2 linked regions of the Elephas maximus indicus genome follow. The protein of the gene in region 2 interacts with the protein of the main gene of each other region in a pairwise test. Links are inferred from orthologs where the notes say so. Each region holds a gene or a part of one and is shown on either strand. Other genes may lie near its edges.

Region 1 (6,714 bases), on a different chromosome or scaffold from region 2:
CTGAGCAAAATATCTTGCCTTTTTAACAGTTGCCTATTATCAAAACATTAGTCAAACCCTTCACTTCAGTAGATATAATCTCCCCATAATATTTTTTTCCTACCTTCAAATCTGTATATTAAAAAGATAAGTATTTTCTTTTTCCAAAAGAAAGGCTTAATTTATAACAGGAAACAAGTAATATTCACACACACACACAAGCCACAGTAGACTAGTCTATTGGGATTTATAAAATAGAGAATTACTCTATATATGTGTACTTGTAAGTATACTACTTATACACTCTGGTATCAACTATATACTTGAGGGGAAAAATCAAGTATCAAGTACGAAGATGTTTTAAGAATTCACAGATAGTGACTTGTGATAAAGTAGTAATAAAATATCTAAGGTTTTGTTAGCTTATCTTATAAGGACAAATAGCTTAAAACGTAGATTTTTTTTTTTTTTACAATTTTCTAAACTAAGTCCTTACATTTGCAAATATTTACTCAAAATCATTAGTTAGCTTCATCTCTCAAGCAAATTATATTTTGCTTGAGCCAGTGTTAAACTGTGCTTTTAATCTATAGTCCAGGTATTCATTCTGGCCCTCGATAATTCATAGTAGATAATATACACACAAACGACAAAAAAGCATTTCATGTGATGAAGCCAGAGAATAGACTAAGTTGTACAATTTGCCAAGCCTATACTTCATAACACTATCTTTCCTGAGCCCAGCAAGTACCTAAGTGAGCAACCGTTTTCCTTCCCAACAGAATTTAATTTAGTGAAAAGCAGTGCAAGGATGACCGCTGGCAGATTGTTTCATCTTGCTGGAACAATGACTTGAATTTAAGGAATGCTGAAGCAAGATAATGTGGGAACACCAAAGAAGTGACAAGGAAACCCACATTTCTGATTGTCCCAAGAAGCTGTTTCATATTGCTTTAATGGATGTCCACAAGTGAAAGGCAAAATGGCAGGTGGATAGAAGCTTCAGGGCCTTTATCCAATCTAATGTGCTCCAGCTCTGCTCTTGAGAATTAAAAACAAAAACTCAAATTAAAAACATCTTTAAAATTCTATAATGGAGCCAAAAATTTAGAAATAGAATTATCTAGACAAATTAGTGGGGATGGGGAGAGATACCCGCTGCCCTCTAAAACAAGTTTTCACAAAACAGAAGCGGGAAATCCAAGTCGTCACTGAACTTGGCGTTTGCCAGGGGAAGCTGGCTTTAATAAAGGTTGGTCTTCTTCATGATCCGAAGAAACTCTTCCTCGTTTACTTCACCGTCTCCATCCCGATCAGCTTCGTCAATCATTTCCTGCAGCTCCTCATCCGTGAGGTTTTCCCCCAATTCATTGGCCACACGCTTGAGGTTTTTGAAAGAGATTTTTCCGGTTTCATCATCATCAAAGAGCCTGAAAGCCTTCAGAATTTCTTCTTTGGTATCTTTCTCAGCCATCTTCTGGGTCATCACGGCCAAGAAGTCATTGAAGCTGATTTTCCCAGTGCCTTCCTTGTCCACGTCGGAGATCATTTTCTTCATCTCCTCCTTCCTGGGCTCAAAGCCCAGCGCTCTCATGGCCACCTTCAGCTCCTTCACGTCGATGGTCCCACTGCCGTCAGCATCGAAGAGATCAAATGCTTCCCGAACTTCTTGCTTCTGATCTTCAGTGAGTTCAGGCTTTGGGCCCACCTTTCTTCTCTGGCTGGCAGAGGCCACATGTGACTTCTTAAAGCTGGACGCCATCCTCTGCGGCGGCTGTTAGTTCAACGGCGTTAGCGCTGCTCGCTGGGGCCCCCCACCCGGTGCGCGGGCACAGCCTTGCACCTCATTCGTTCCCAACGGTCAGTCCTTCCACTGCGCTATCCCAGAGAGCCCTATCCCACTGAGCCTGTCACGTCTGCGCGATCCTATTTACCGTTAGCGTCCACGAGTTGATACCTGAGCTGGCAATAGCTGCCGATAGCCACAGTTGTCTTCCATAATTCATTGGTACTTGACTGTTCTTTTTTCCTAGACCATTTGTTAACATCCATTGAAACCAGTTTTGTCTATTTATTTGGAAGTCCTTCTTCTCTCCTTTCCCATACTTATTTTAAAACCCTTAGTCTGAGGTTAAGGGTAAATTTAGGATCCTGGAGACTGGGTTTGAATCACTTGACATTAGATGAGGGGAAGTAGTAGGAAAAATATTAAAGGTCACACCAAGCATCCAAGTTGACATAAACAGAAAAGCAGATAAAATGGAAACCGTTATCCATAAAAATAGTAGAAGTTTGTCGCCTGACATTACATTCAACGATAATAGAACTTCACAAGTTTATTTGGCTTGTCCTCAAATATGAGATGTAATATCTGAATGTGCAATTTACTTTCAGTGTTTCATTTATAAATACTCAGAATAGTTGCACTTGAATAATGGTCATAATTTTATTCGGTTTACTTTTAATTGGGAGTGGGGGAATACTATAGATTCTGGTACTCTGGTTTTTAAAAACCCTAGCACCATATTCCACCTTCTTCTGTCAGTTTGCCGTACTGTGATGGCTTGCATGTGGTTGTGATTCTGGAAGCTATGCCACTGATATTTCAAATACCTGCATGGTCACCCATGGTGGACAGGTTTCAGCAGAGCTTCCAGACCAAGACGGACTAAGAAGAAAAGCCTGATGACCTACTTCCAAAAATTAGCCAATGAAAACTTTATGGATCACAACAAAACATTGCCCAACTTTGGACATGTTATCAGGAGGGCTCCATCGGTGGAGGAAGACATCATGTCTGGTGAAGTAGAGGGCCAGTGAGGTCATGGGAGACCTTCAGTGAGATGGATTGGCATAGAAACCACAACAGTGGACTCAAACATGCTGGTGATTGTGGGGATGATGCGGGACTGGGCATTTCATTTTGTTGTGCCTAAGAGCTCTGTGAGTGGGCATCAACTCAATGGCAGCTATCTAGCCAGCAACATATTGCTCTCACTGATTGCCATCCAGTCAAGACTGTGCTGGAACCCACACCTTAGCAGTCCTCCTTTGGCAGTGGACACGGAAGGAGATAACTATGGGGCATGTTGGGACCCAAAATTGCCTCATGGGAACAAAGGAGTCCTCCTGTGAACCAAAGGGGCAACAGAAAAATAGCTTTTCAAGTGAAAAGAAGGAAAAAAGAAAAAAATCACTAAGTAAGCCCATAAGTGGATTACTTAGAATTGCTCCATACTTCTTTACCAAAAAAACTAAACCCAGTGCCGTCGAGTCAATTCCGACTCATAGCGACCCTATAGGACAGAGTAGAACGGCCCCATAGAGCTTCCAAGAAATGTCTGGCGGATTTGAAATGCCAACTCTTTGCTTAGCAGGTGTAGCACTTAACTAGTATGCCACCACGGTTTCCACCCATAATTCTTCATACAGCTAAAAAAGGAAAGGAAACCTTTTTTTTCTTTTAGCTTTCTTGAAAGAAAAAAAATATCACTATTCAACCAGTTACAACAGTGAGTGACTCACAATTAGAAGGGTTAATAAATATTTGTTGAATAAATGAATGACAATATAATGTTGGTCCTAAAACACACAAACATACCCAAAAGATTAAATAGTGCTAGTAGTGTTTTACGAATTCAATTTTTTTAAATTAGTGATCAGATATGGTATACACGGCATGTTTAATTAGCCAGATCTCATTACCTGCCCCTGAGGATATATGGCTTACTGGACAGAGTCCTGGGCAAAGGGTTTCAAAGGCCAAGGAAACTCATCTGGGATCTCCCCTCTCCCACTTTTCAGCTCTTGTCATAGACATCATCAGCTCAAAGTAGACTTTGGCAGGCAGACGCTATAGCTGCTCATACTTCGACAATGCAAATCCTCCTGCCTCCTCCCATATCCAAAACCAGACTTAATAAGTCACTGACTTATTAACTGTGACCTTGGGAAAGTCACTTAACCTCTGTGGTGAAATGAGTTCCTTTATGTGGCCTTTTGCCTTGGTTCTTTGGAAAAGCCTCTTGAGGGGTTTTTCCCCTAAGCCCTGAGGAGTTACCCAGAGGGTTTGTTGCTTTTGTCCAGGTTGATTGACAATTCCTGGGTGTCTTAGTCACCTGGTGCTGCTGTAAAAGAAATCCACAAGTGGATGGCTTTAACAAAGAGAAATTTATTGTCTCAGGGTTTAGGAAGCTAGAAGTCCAAATTCAGGGAGCCAGCTCCAGGGGAAGGTTTTCTCTCTATGTCAACTCTGGGGCAAGGTCCTTGTCATCAGTCTTCTCCTGGGTTAGGGGTTTCTTAGGCGCAGGAACTCTGGGTCCAAAGAATGCTCTCACTCTTGACTCTTCTTTCTTAGTGATAGGAGTTCCCTCTGTGTCTCTGCTTGTTTCTCTCTTTCATATCTCGAAAGAGACTGACTCAATATACAACCTAATCTTGTAGATTGAGTCCTGCCTCATTAACATAACTGCCTCTAATCCTGCTTCATTAACATCATACCGGTAGGATTTTCAATATACAGGAAAATCACATCAGATGACAAAATGGTGGACAATGATACAATACTGGGAATCATGGCCTAGCCAAGTTAATAGATATTTTGGGGGAACACATAACACTGAGTAAGCTATAAACAACTTGGTTTTGATACTTTTTGTCTGGTTCTGTGCTGCAGCTGGCCCTGTAATTAGTATGTACCTTGCAGGATTGGTCAGTAGGCTATACCACGAGGTGACTATCACCTACTATGCAAATGACATATCTGTCCCCCTGCTGGGAGGGACCATTATTTGAAATTGACAGGGAGTTGTGTATATAAGCAGCCAACCACACAGAGATTTTAGAAACAGGAAGCAGGAAGAAGCAGAAAGGAGAAAGATGAGAGAAGAAGCAAAGAGAGAAGAGACAAGGAATCTTCTAAAAAAGCTGTAACTTTGGTCAAAGGCGGTAACATTGAAGGCCACAAGAGGCCCAGAAGGCGCCCAGAGGTTGAGATGGAGACCAGCCTGCAAGGGGCCCTGGCAGCAGAGCTAACAGCAGGGAGGCCGAAGGCAGAGAGGTCTGTCCTGAGAATGGCCTGTCCTGAGGGGCCTGACCAGGGCCTGTCCTGAGTGGAGTGAGAGGGGCCTGTCCAGAGGGGGCTGAGAGGGGCCTGTCCTGATGGGGCTGAGAGGAGGCCTGCACAGACAAGAGGAGCTGAGAGAGCTGTCCTGCACAGAAGAAGGAAGATTTTATCTACATACTTCCTAATCCTGGTCCTGAGTTGTAGCCTATTGATCCTGATCCCAAATTGTACCCTGTTACTTCCTTAATATGCCACTTAACTATAAGTATGGTCTGTGAGTTCTGTGTGGCCATTGCTGTGAGAAGTATGGTTGGTGTCAGAATTGGTAAAAGTTCAAAGAGTGGAAGTATCTCTGACCTCTACCCCATAGGGATCACTTTAAGGCTGTTGCTGGTCATTAGCCCCCCAGAAGTTAGACAGGTTCTGATGCTAATCCAGCCACTACCACCATTTTACAACCTCCCAGACTCAATTCAAGCATCTGCAAAGTAGGCATAATAATAAATCTTCCTAGTAGAGCTCCTGTGCAGTTTCAATGAGCTAATGCATATGAAAGCTCCAGAGGCAGTTCCCTAGTGGGGCCATAGAAGGCTGGATCATTGTTAACTGAATCTCAATTCCTCCCTGACATTGTGCATTTCCTTTGCCACCCAATCCTTTGCCCAAATTCAAGCCAAGCTATGATGAGTTGGGAAAAACTGAAGGATAGAAGCTGCCTTACATAGAGCTGCATTTGGGCCAAGTTGAGCTCAAAGCAAAACAGTTGTCATAGTTTCCAGATGTGTGCAATCAACAGTCACAACAAAGGGCCACCAAGACCTCCCTGAGTAGACCACAGTGCCCATGGACAGAGTCAGCTTTGCCTGGGGAGTTATTTAGTGTTCATAATCCGAGATCTGACTTTGAAAGGAAAGGGAAACTTAAAAGCGATTGATGGTGTGCCTAGCATTGGGCTTGGTCCTCACATTTGCCATCTCATTTAAATCTTTGCAATCATTTCTCATTTTGCAGATGAGGCACAGGAATGTATCCAAAGGTACACAGCCACTGAAGGGTGGTGCTGGGACTTAAACATTGGCCTATCTGAGTCCAGTGCTGAGGCTTTGTCCACTATACCATGCTGCCACCTCCAAAAGCCAAGGTTATTACCAAAATGTCGTGTCATTGGTAATATATGGCATCTGATTTTCTTCTCTAAACCTAACAATAACGAAGCATCTCACCTAGAAAGGTTTAACACAATTTGTAGGATCTTGGGCAGGGTCCCATTTTGGGACCAGCCACCAAGAGACGAAAGAACAAAGTGCTTGGAATTTACATTTGTTGTTCTTCAACTCTGCTTCACTCCACCCCCTGCTCTCAACTCTGTGTACAAGTTAATGGAAGGCAGTCTGGGCAAAGTGCCTTTGGTTGGCGTTAGTGAGCATGGATCTAATGCATGTGAAAATCAGCTTGGTTACTTTAAAGTCACTTTTAAAGATCTAATTAGGCTAACATCAAGTAAATGAGATGTGCTGGAAAACCATTGGCTATGAGCGTTTTTTTTTTTTGCCTTTAAAAATTCTTGTACCATGATGTCCTAGGTAATATGCAAAATCGGCTGTTGATTATCTGAGAGGAGATGGTTGTTTAAGTCTGGTCCTGGAAACTTAACAGCTGGAAGGGGGGAG
Region 2 (8,545 bases):
CCTGTGCTGAGTTCCTTTTGTTTTTGTAGATTTTGTTTTTATCAAGACTTTATGATTTTCTTCTTTATTTTTATGAGTAGGTTATAAACTTCTCTGTGGTTACTTTGAGATTTACCCTTATCTTCCTAGGTTTGAACCAGTCTATTATTTCATGGTATCACTTTGCCTTCTTCTCCATTAGAACATTGTATACCTATAACGTTTATTCCCTCTTTTATTGTTCTGATGTTGTTGTCATTTACAGATTAACCTCTCTAGTTCCCTATTGCAGTTGTTTTGGTTTTGGATAGTCCATGAGAGTTCATTTCCTACGTTGGTATCTGGCTGATACAATCCTGCATCCTAGATTCAGGCTGTGGTCTGATGTTGTTTGTTCTAATACTGAAGGACTCCCTTTAATAATTCTTTTAAGTTTGGTTTAGTTTTTACATATTCCCTTAATTTCTGTTTATCTGGAAATGTCCTAATTTCACCATCATATTTGAACTAAAGTTTTGCAGAATATACTATTCTTGGTTGGCAATTTTTTTCTTTCAAGGTTTTATATATGTCATCCCATTGTCCTCTTGCCTGCGTGGCTTCTGCTGAATAACCAGATCTTAGTCTTATTGTTTCTCCTGTGTATGTCACTTTTTGTTTTTCTCAAGCTGCTTGCAGGATTTCTTCTTTGTCTTTGGTTTTACCGAGTATGATTATGATATGTCTTGGTGTTTTTCTTTTGAAGTCTATCCTATATGGGGTTCATTGAGCTTCTTGGATGGTCAGCTTTTCATCATTCATGATATTAGGGAAGTTTTCTATCAGCAATTCTTTAATGATCCTCTTTGTGTTTTCCATTTTCTCTCCCTGTTTGGAACTCCAATCACTCACAAATTTTTGCTTTTGATTGTATCCCACATAATTCTCAGGGTTTCTTCATTTTTCTTCTTTTTCCTGATTTTTCCTCAAACAGAGTTGTATCCAATTATTTGTCTTCAATTTCACTAATTCTGTCTTCCACTATTTCAAACCTACTCCTCAGCCCCTCTATGACGCTGTCCATTTCTGAAATATTGTTGTTTATCTTTTGGATTTCTAAGTATTGTTTTTGTATGATTTCTAGTTGTGAATTTATTTTGGCATTTTGTTCCTGTATTGCTTTCCTGAATTGTTCCATTTTTTGGTCTATATTTTCCATGAATTTATCTGCCTTTTCCAAAATTTGTCTTTTTTTTTTCCTTATTTTTGTCTGCTTTTTACTTCAACTCTTGGATTGCTCTGAATATTAGAGATCTGAACTCCCTGTCAGCATCCTGTCCTGTTTTTCTATATGTTGTGATATTGTCTGCTGTCTCTGGGACATTCAGTAGTTATTCTCTTCATTTCTTGATTGTAGATTTGCTTGTTTTGCCCTGATTTTTTCCTTTATTTGGTTTTGTTTGAGCAGGTGGGCTGTGTGTTCTTTGTTGTTTGCTCATCTGTAATCATGATACTTTTCACCTCCTTGTACAATGGGCAGGGTCAGTCATTCAGCTATGGTGCAGCAAGGCAGGTCCAGCTGAAAGGAGGGCTGGGATGGGTTCTTTGTGGCACATACTAGGGCTGACAGGGCAGGCCAGAAATCAGTGCTGAGCAGGTTCCACTAGGCCATGCCTGTGCTGCTCAGGGGTGTGGGAAAGAGGAAAGAGAGGAAAGAAAAACAGGAGCCAAAAACAAACAAGCAAACACAGAAGGGGGAAAAAAAAGAGTGCTAAGGAAGCTTGCCGTTAGAGTGGAGAGAAGAGAAACCAAGAAATGGAGAAAAGCAAAAAGAAAAAGGGAAAAAGAAAAAAATAACTAGATAAAAATTTCAAAAAGAAAAAAAGGCCCCAAGAGTCCCAGAGTATCACCAGTGGGGCTGCTAAGACCGGGGAAGTGGCTCCCAGGCTGCACAGTATAGCCTGGCTAGAGGGAATATAGATGTCACACAGCACCAGGTGTTCAGGAGACAGGAAAAGAAGGTAAGTGTAGAGAGATGAGAACTGAGGACTGAAGACAGACAGAAAGGGAAAAAGAGAGAAAAGAAAGAAAAAAAAGAAATGCCCCCAGAGATCCCACCTAGGTGGCTGCGCAGATCGGGGAGTGGCTCCTGAGCCATGCAGTGCAGCCCAGCTAGAAGGGGCTCCCAAGGTTCGAAAACAAACAAAACAGAGTAAAACAAGGAAAAAGAAGCCCCAGGGATTCCACCAGCATGGTGTCATTGGGCCAGAAGAGTGGTTCCCCAGTTAAGCATGGCTTCACAGCCTTTCAAGAAGAAGCAAAGATGGTACACGTAGCCAGGTGTTCCAGAGAAAGGAGGGGGAGGCACAGAAGAAACCAAGAGAGGGAAAGAACCTACCCCAACTCATGGACCCGGCCAGTGTGGGCAGGGTGAATCCAAGCATCCTGAGGCCAAAGCAGTTGCTTCCCAGCCAAGAGACTGCAGCTGGCGGGAAGCAGAGGAGGCCGAAGTGGGGGAGGAAAAAGGGGGGATTTAGGAAACCGTATGTGGCTCATTACCAGGTGCTCTGTCTCCTGCTGGGACCTTCCTAAAGCTGCTTTCCCGTACTCCCTGTCTGCGGATGACGATGTGGGTGGGGCGAATCCAAGCAGCATGGACTCTGCACTTCCCAGCCTGCCAAGCCACTGCAGCTAGCCAGCTGGGAGAGAATGAGGGGTGGGAAAGTGTGTATCCCTGGTTACCAGGTGCTTCATCTCCTCCTGGGAGTTCCCCAAAGCTGCTTTCCCATGCTCCCTGTCTGCGATCCCTGACTGGCGGCAAGATGGCGGATCTCTACTGCCTTAGCTGATGGGACCCTCTGCACGTATCTCTCCCCTTCTCGGTCCTCTGTCAGTTTCTTAATCCATTCAGTGCTTGGCTGAGTTCTCTATCTCTTCGTTTGGCACTTCCAGTTCCAGGAATGATGTTTGTCTCTGTTTTACTTAGTTTTTCAGGTCTTTGCTGTGGAAGGACAGCGTGGTGCTTCTGTCTATGGTGCCATGTTGGCCGGAATTCCAACCATGGTGTTTTCAGTTGCCTCACATGCATGCAAAAGCTGGACGGTGAATAACGAAGACCAAAGAAGAATTGATGCCTTTGAATTGTGGTGCTGGCGAAGAATATTGAATACACCAGGCACTGCCAGAAGAACAAACAAATCTGTCTTGGAAGAAGTACAACCAGAATGCTCCTTACAATCAAGGATGGTGAGACTAGTCTCACATACTTTCTGCATGTTATCAGGAGGTATCAGTCCCTGGAGAAAGACATCATGCCTGGTAAAGTAGAGGGTCAGTGAGAAAGAGGAAGACCCGCAAGGAGATGGATTGACACAATGGCTGCAATGGTGGGCTTAAGCATAACAAGGATTGTGAGGATGGCTCAGGACCAGGCAGTGTTTTGTTCTATTGTACATATGGTCACTGTGAGTCAGAACTGACGTGACGGCACCTAACAACAAAACAGTGACAGGAGGGCCCAGGAATAATGAATTGGTAACAATTAGAGCATGTGGAGTCACCACATGACAACTCAACTAAAAAAAAAAGCTAATGGTACCAGTTATGAATTTATATATATTAACAGGACTTTGTCCTTTATAGTAAGGATGGGGAGAAAAAGGGATGGGCAAGCATAGTTTATGCTGAAGAAGCTGCTGGTGCTCTTTTTACTTCATTCACTGGATGCTGCAAACTGTTAACATACTTAGCTGCTAACTAGAAAGCTGGAGGTTCGAGTCCACCCAGAGGCACCTCGAAAGAATGTCCTGATGATCTACTTCAGAAAATCAGCCATTGAAAACGCTGTAGAGCACAGTTCTACTGACACACATGGGGTCACCATGAGTCTGAATCAACTACATGGCAAATGGTTTTGTTTTGTTTTTATCTATAGAAAAAGAAATACATCATCCTCCAGGTAACACAGCCTGAAAACTCATCATGGTGTAAGCCAGGATTGAACCCTTTGCCACCTGGATCCTTATGTTCCTCAAGCCATATCCATTGACCCATTGCCATGGAGTCAATTTTGACCCATAATGACCCCGTAGAAAAGAGTAGGACTGCCCCATAGGGTTTCCAGTGAGCAGCTGGTGGATTCGAACTGCCTACCTTTTAGTTTGTAGCCAAGCTCTTAACCACTGCACCACCTGGGCTTCTCTATGTTGAACAGGAGTAGTGAAAGAGGACTTCATTGGCTTGTTCCTGGTCTTAGGGGTAAAGCATTTGGTTATCTTTAGGTTTTTCTAGCCATGGCTGCTACCTATTCAAATTGAAAGATAGAGGTGTGATATATCTATTTGATAGGCATTTTAGATTTATTTACTCATTTCAACTCCCTAGAACCCTGTTATGTGGGTAGAATTATCCAAGATCATATAGTGAGTAGATGACAGAGCCAGGGCTTTATTATGATCTGATCGTAAGGTCGATACTCATTTAGCCAGAACGGCCTGCCTTGCAGTCTGATGCGTTTAAAGTCATTAATAAAATCTAATCCAGCAACTTCTTAAAATGTGGCCCGCAGATCTGGACATCAGAATCACTGGCAATGTTTGTTAACAAACCAGATTCCCTGGCCCCACCCAAGACCGAAGAATCAGAAGAGGAGCCAGGAATCAGTATTTTTAAAAAGTACCTTCAAGTGATTCTTTTGCAGGTAATCTATGAATGCAAATTATTTCTATACAAACTGAAGTATGAGGATCACAAGTTTAAGATACCGGCATTGTTGAAAGCCAATAGCATACTGCCTCAGCCGACTTCAACCCGGCAGGACAGCCCATAACCAAATTCTAATCTCCGAAGCGCCTCAGCGAGCAGCCGCACAACGCAACTGAGCACGCGCGGCACTGACTCTCCCTCGCGCTGGTCGCGGCTCTTTAAGACCACGCCCCCTCAGGACCGGCCGAAGCAGGGGGCGGGTCTCTCTTTAAAGACACCAAATTCCGTCGTCTCACGCAGGGGTCCAAAGCCCCGCCCCCGACACTCGGACCAATCAAACAACAGATTGCTGAAGCTCGGGGCCAATGCACAGGGCTGTTCTTAATTAGTCTCTGCAGTTTGAAACTGTCAGGTTGCTTCTAGGGTAGCAGCTGTACTCGCTGTTTTAGTGGCGACGCGGTGGGGAGACGCAGGGTGGCGTTCGGATTCTGTCCAGAGCCGGTGACGGTGGGTAGCGGCGCCCCGGGCGGGCCCCGCTTTCAGGCTAAGGTATAGGAGTGGAGGTTCAAGTTCCTTGGCCCGGGTTTCCGCTGCCGGGCTGCCATACGGAAGGGCTGGGGACGTCTTCCCGAGACGCGGGCGATTTAGCTGTTCTGGGAGTGCCTGAGGTTTTTCCACTCCAAGGCATCGGCAAAAAGGGCAGGAGTGAGGGCCTGCCCGAAGTGTAGCGGTCCTGTTGCCGCAAAGTTCTGGTAATTTAAAACGGGGGGGGGGGGAATCATACGTAAAGCTTTATTATTTTTAAGTGAGAATTTGATGAAAACAAAAATGGATAGGAAAAGAGATTGAAGAAAACTTCTCCGTTTTCTTGCTTGCAACTGCTTTTTTCCTTTGATGTGGGGAGGGGCTGGTGTGCCCCTCCCCTTGCTTGCTGCTAGGACCCGGAACCGGCACAGGGGTCATCATCCTGCTGCCGGCTTGCACGTTAATTTACTCTTCCTCTGCTTCTTGGGGTTACATTTGAATTCCCAAACTCCTCTTTCCCTACCAGCCAGATAATTACCCAGATGTAATTTGATTTCTCTGGCAATAGAGAAGCACCCAAAACTTTTTATCTTCTGGTTTCCAAGACCTTGGTTTAAAGAATACTGAAAATTTAGTAAACTAATGTGCCTTTGCTACCCATGAAAGCAAGTTTCATTTTTCTCCTTTGAATCTAGAAACAGTAAGGAAAATGTAGGGTTTTCAATAAACTGTGTACCTTCTTTGTATCAAAGCAAGATGAATGGAATACTTAGAGCATATTTTCCAAAAGTCCAGTAGTAGTTTTGTGTCGGCAGTATCTATGTTCAGAAACTCATTTTTGATGTCTGATCATACTCTTCAGCCCTTCTTTTTTTTTTTTTTTATCAGCACCAGCCTACCCCTACTCCTATTACCTACCCAGTCTGCAAACAAATACTAAAGGAAGCGAATGAAAATATAAATAAACCACGTTACCACAGTAGTGGATATGAAATCAGTGAAACAGGCCTCCCTTGTTGCAGATGTATGTGCTTATTTTATCCTTCCTAATTGGCTTAACTAAAGACAATCATGCTGAGATTTCAGTTCCTTATTATGTGTTAATACATACAAAGTCATGAGATTTCATTTCCTTATTATGTGTTAATACATACAAAGTAATGTTCATGAAATAAAATTACCTTTTAAGGTCTTCACAATCTAGCTCCAGTTTATGTTTCCATTCCAATATTGCACTCTTCCTGTATTAGCCCTTTTTACCTCAGTTTCCTCATCTCTCCGTCCTTCATCCCACTGTGCTTGAGACCTGTTCCATTTTCCACTAAAATTGCTCGGGCAAGTGTCACAGCAACTTCTTGATTGCCAAATTCAAGGGACTCTGCAATCTTCACCATCTCACTCTGATACTGCCTTCTTGAAATTGTGATTGTGCTCTCCTACTTCTCCTGTTATGACTTCTTTCTCAGTCTCTTTGCTGGCTCTTCTCTTCTCCTTTAAATGTTAGTGGTTCTGGGTTTAACCCTCTTTTCAAAGTAGTGGTCCTTAATAAATTAGGGTTATAGTTCCCTGTGAACACATATTGAAAGGTAAGGATCCTCTTCCTAGAGAGATGGATATGTGTATTTATACTAAAAATACTGTGGGTAATTTGGGTGTAAGAACCTCAGGTTAAGAATTCTTTCTCACACTCCTTTTGTTTTAGCAGCCCTCATTATGTTGATAATTCCTCAAATTATATGGCTAATCTACACCTTCAGTACAGGACGTCTACACTGCATAACTCCAGGAAGCACCATTGGCATTTTAGCCATTGTGAATGATAGTCCTTGGAGTTGTACAGTGCATAGCCAGCGTGGCCATACACTGCATACCTACAGCTTCACCTCTGCCTCAGAAGCACCTCATACCCAGCATATCTGATATTGAAGTCATTGCCCTTCCTCTCAACATGCCTATCTTCCTACATTCCCTGCCTTGGTGAGTAGTGCTATCATCTATGTCACCCAAGCCAGAAGTCAGAAAACCATCAACAGTTCCTCCTTATAACCCCTTAACCAGTTATTGATCATGATCTTTTATTTCCACTGCCGTAACACATCTGACTCATAGTTGAACCCTCCGTCCCTTTCCCATTGCTGCCTCTTAGATTCAGGTCCTTATTTATCTCCTGGATTACTGCTGGAGGGAACACTGATATCATAGACTACTGCAGTAGGCTCCCAATATATCTCTCTTCAGTACCCCACCTCTCTAGTCTATCCTCAAAACTGCCAGATAGATCCTTCTAAAAGCCAAGCCTAATCATGTTATCAAACTTCCTAGAAGGAGCCCTGGTGGCTCAGTGATTAAGCACTCAGCTAGTAACTTAAAGGTCGGCAGTTCAAACCCACCAGTGGCTCCATGGGAGAAAAGACCCTGCAATCTGCTCCTGTAAAGATTATTGTTGTGTGTTGTCGTGTTGATTCCAACTCATAGTGACCTTGTAGGACAGAGTAGAACTTCCCTTTAGGCTCTTCTAGGCTGTAATCTTTATGAGAGCATATCATGAGGTCTTTTCTCCCACAGAGCTGCTGGTGGGTTCAAACCATTCACCTTTCAGTTAACAGCCGAGGGCTTGACCATTGTGCCACCAGTGTTCCTTCCTGCAAAGATTACAGTCTAGGATACCCTGTGAGGCAATTCTTATTTGTCATAGAGTCACTATGAATCAGAATCAACCTGACAGTACGCTGCAAGAGGTGGCACAGTTTGCACTCAACTGCTAACAGAAAGGTTGGTGGTCTGCTTTTGTTTACGAATATAGGCAAAGAATATAGGCAAGGAAACCCTGTGGATTAGTTCTACTCGGTAACGCATGGGCTCTCCCTGAGTCGAAATCGACTTGATGGCACTAAAAACAACAACAGCAAATCCTGTTATCACTGGTTTAAAACAATTTATGTTTCAGGCTGAGATCTGCTCATCATTTGGGTTTCAACTCCTGGGTCATTTGTCTTCTCTAAAAAACTTTTTCTGGCTCTTTCCCCTTCTTCACACACCTAAAGCCTCACCTCAGGAAATGACTACTCCTACTTTCCTACTTTCTACCTTTGCTGTTTTAAGGTCTAACAGCACTTTTTTTCATCAATCAGTTATTTATATTATGTATATACCTGGGCGTCATTACAAATTGTAAAGTCCTTGAGGACAAAAACTTTCTTCATCTTATATTCCTCACCGATATCTTATACATAACTGGTGTTCAGATATTTTGAACAGTCACTATTTGTCTCCTGAATAATTTGTTTACCTGTTACTAAAAGTACTTTCATTATCTTTATTTTTGAGTTAGGGCCTTCAACAATTTTTCTATACGTGT

The links.
Region 1: the proteins of POC5 (region 2) and CETN1 interact in binary tests that used the Homo sapiens proteins (3 or more experiments, as listed by UniProt). The link is inferred for Elephas maximus indicus from reciprocal best matches to the Homo sapiens genes POC5 and CETN1.

Annotation. Positions count from the first base shown.
Region 1 is NC_064829.1:26,009,106-26,015,819, forward strand, and holds CETN1 (centrin-1), read right to left. Parts: upstream 1,742-6,714; coding exon 1,223-1,741; downstream 1-1,222. UniProt on the Homo sapiens protein: Plays a fundamental role in microtubule-organizing center structure and function. Plays a role in sperm cilia formation.
Region 2 is NC_064820.1:80,287,181-80,295,725, reverse strand, and holds the start of POC5 (centrosomal protein POC5), read left to right. Parts: upstream 1-5,065; 5' UTR 5,066-5,169; exon of another isoform or gene 5,170-5,414; intron 5,415-6,889; 5' UTR 6,890-7,164; intron 7,165-8,545. UniProt on the Homo sapiens protein: Essential for the assembly of the distal half of centrioles, required for centriole elongation. Acts as a negative regulator of centriole elongation.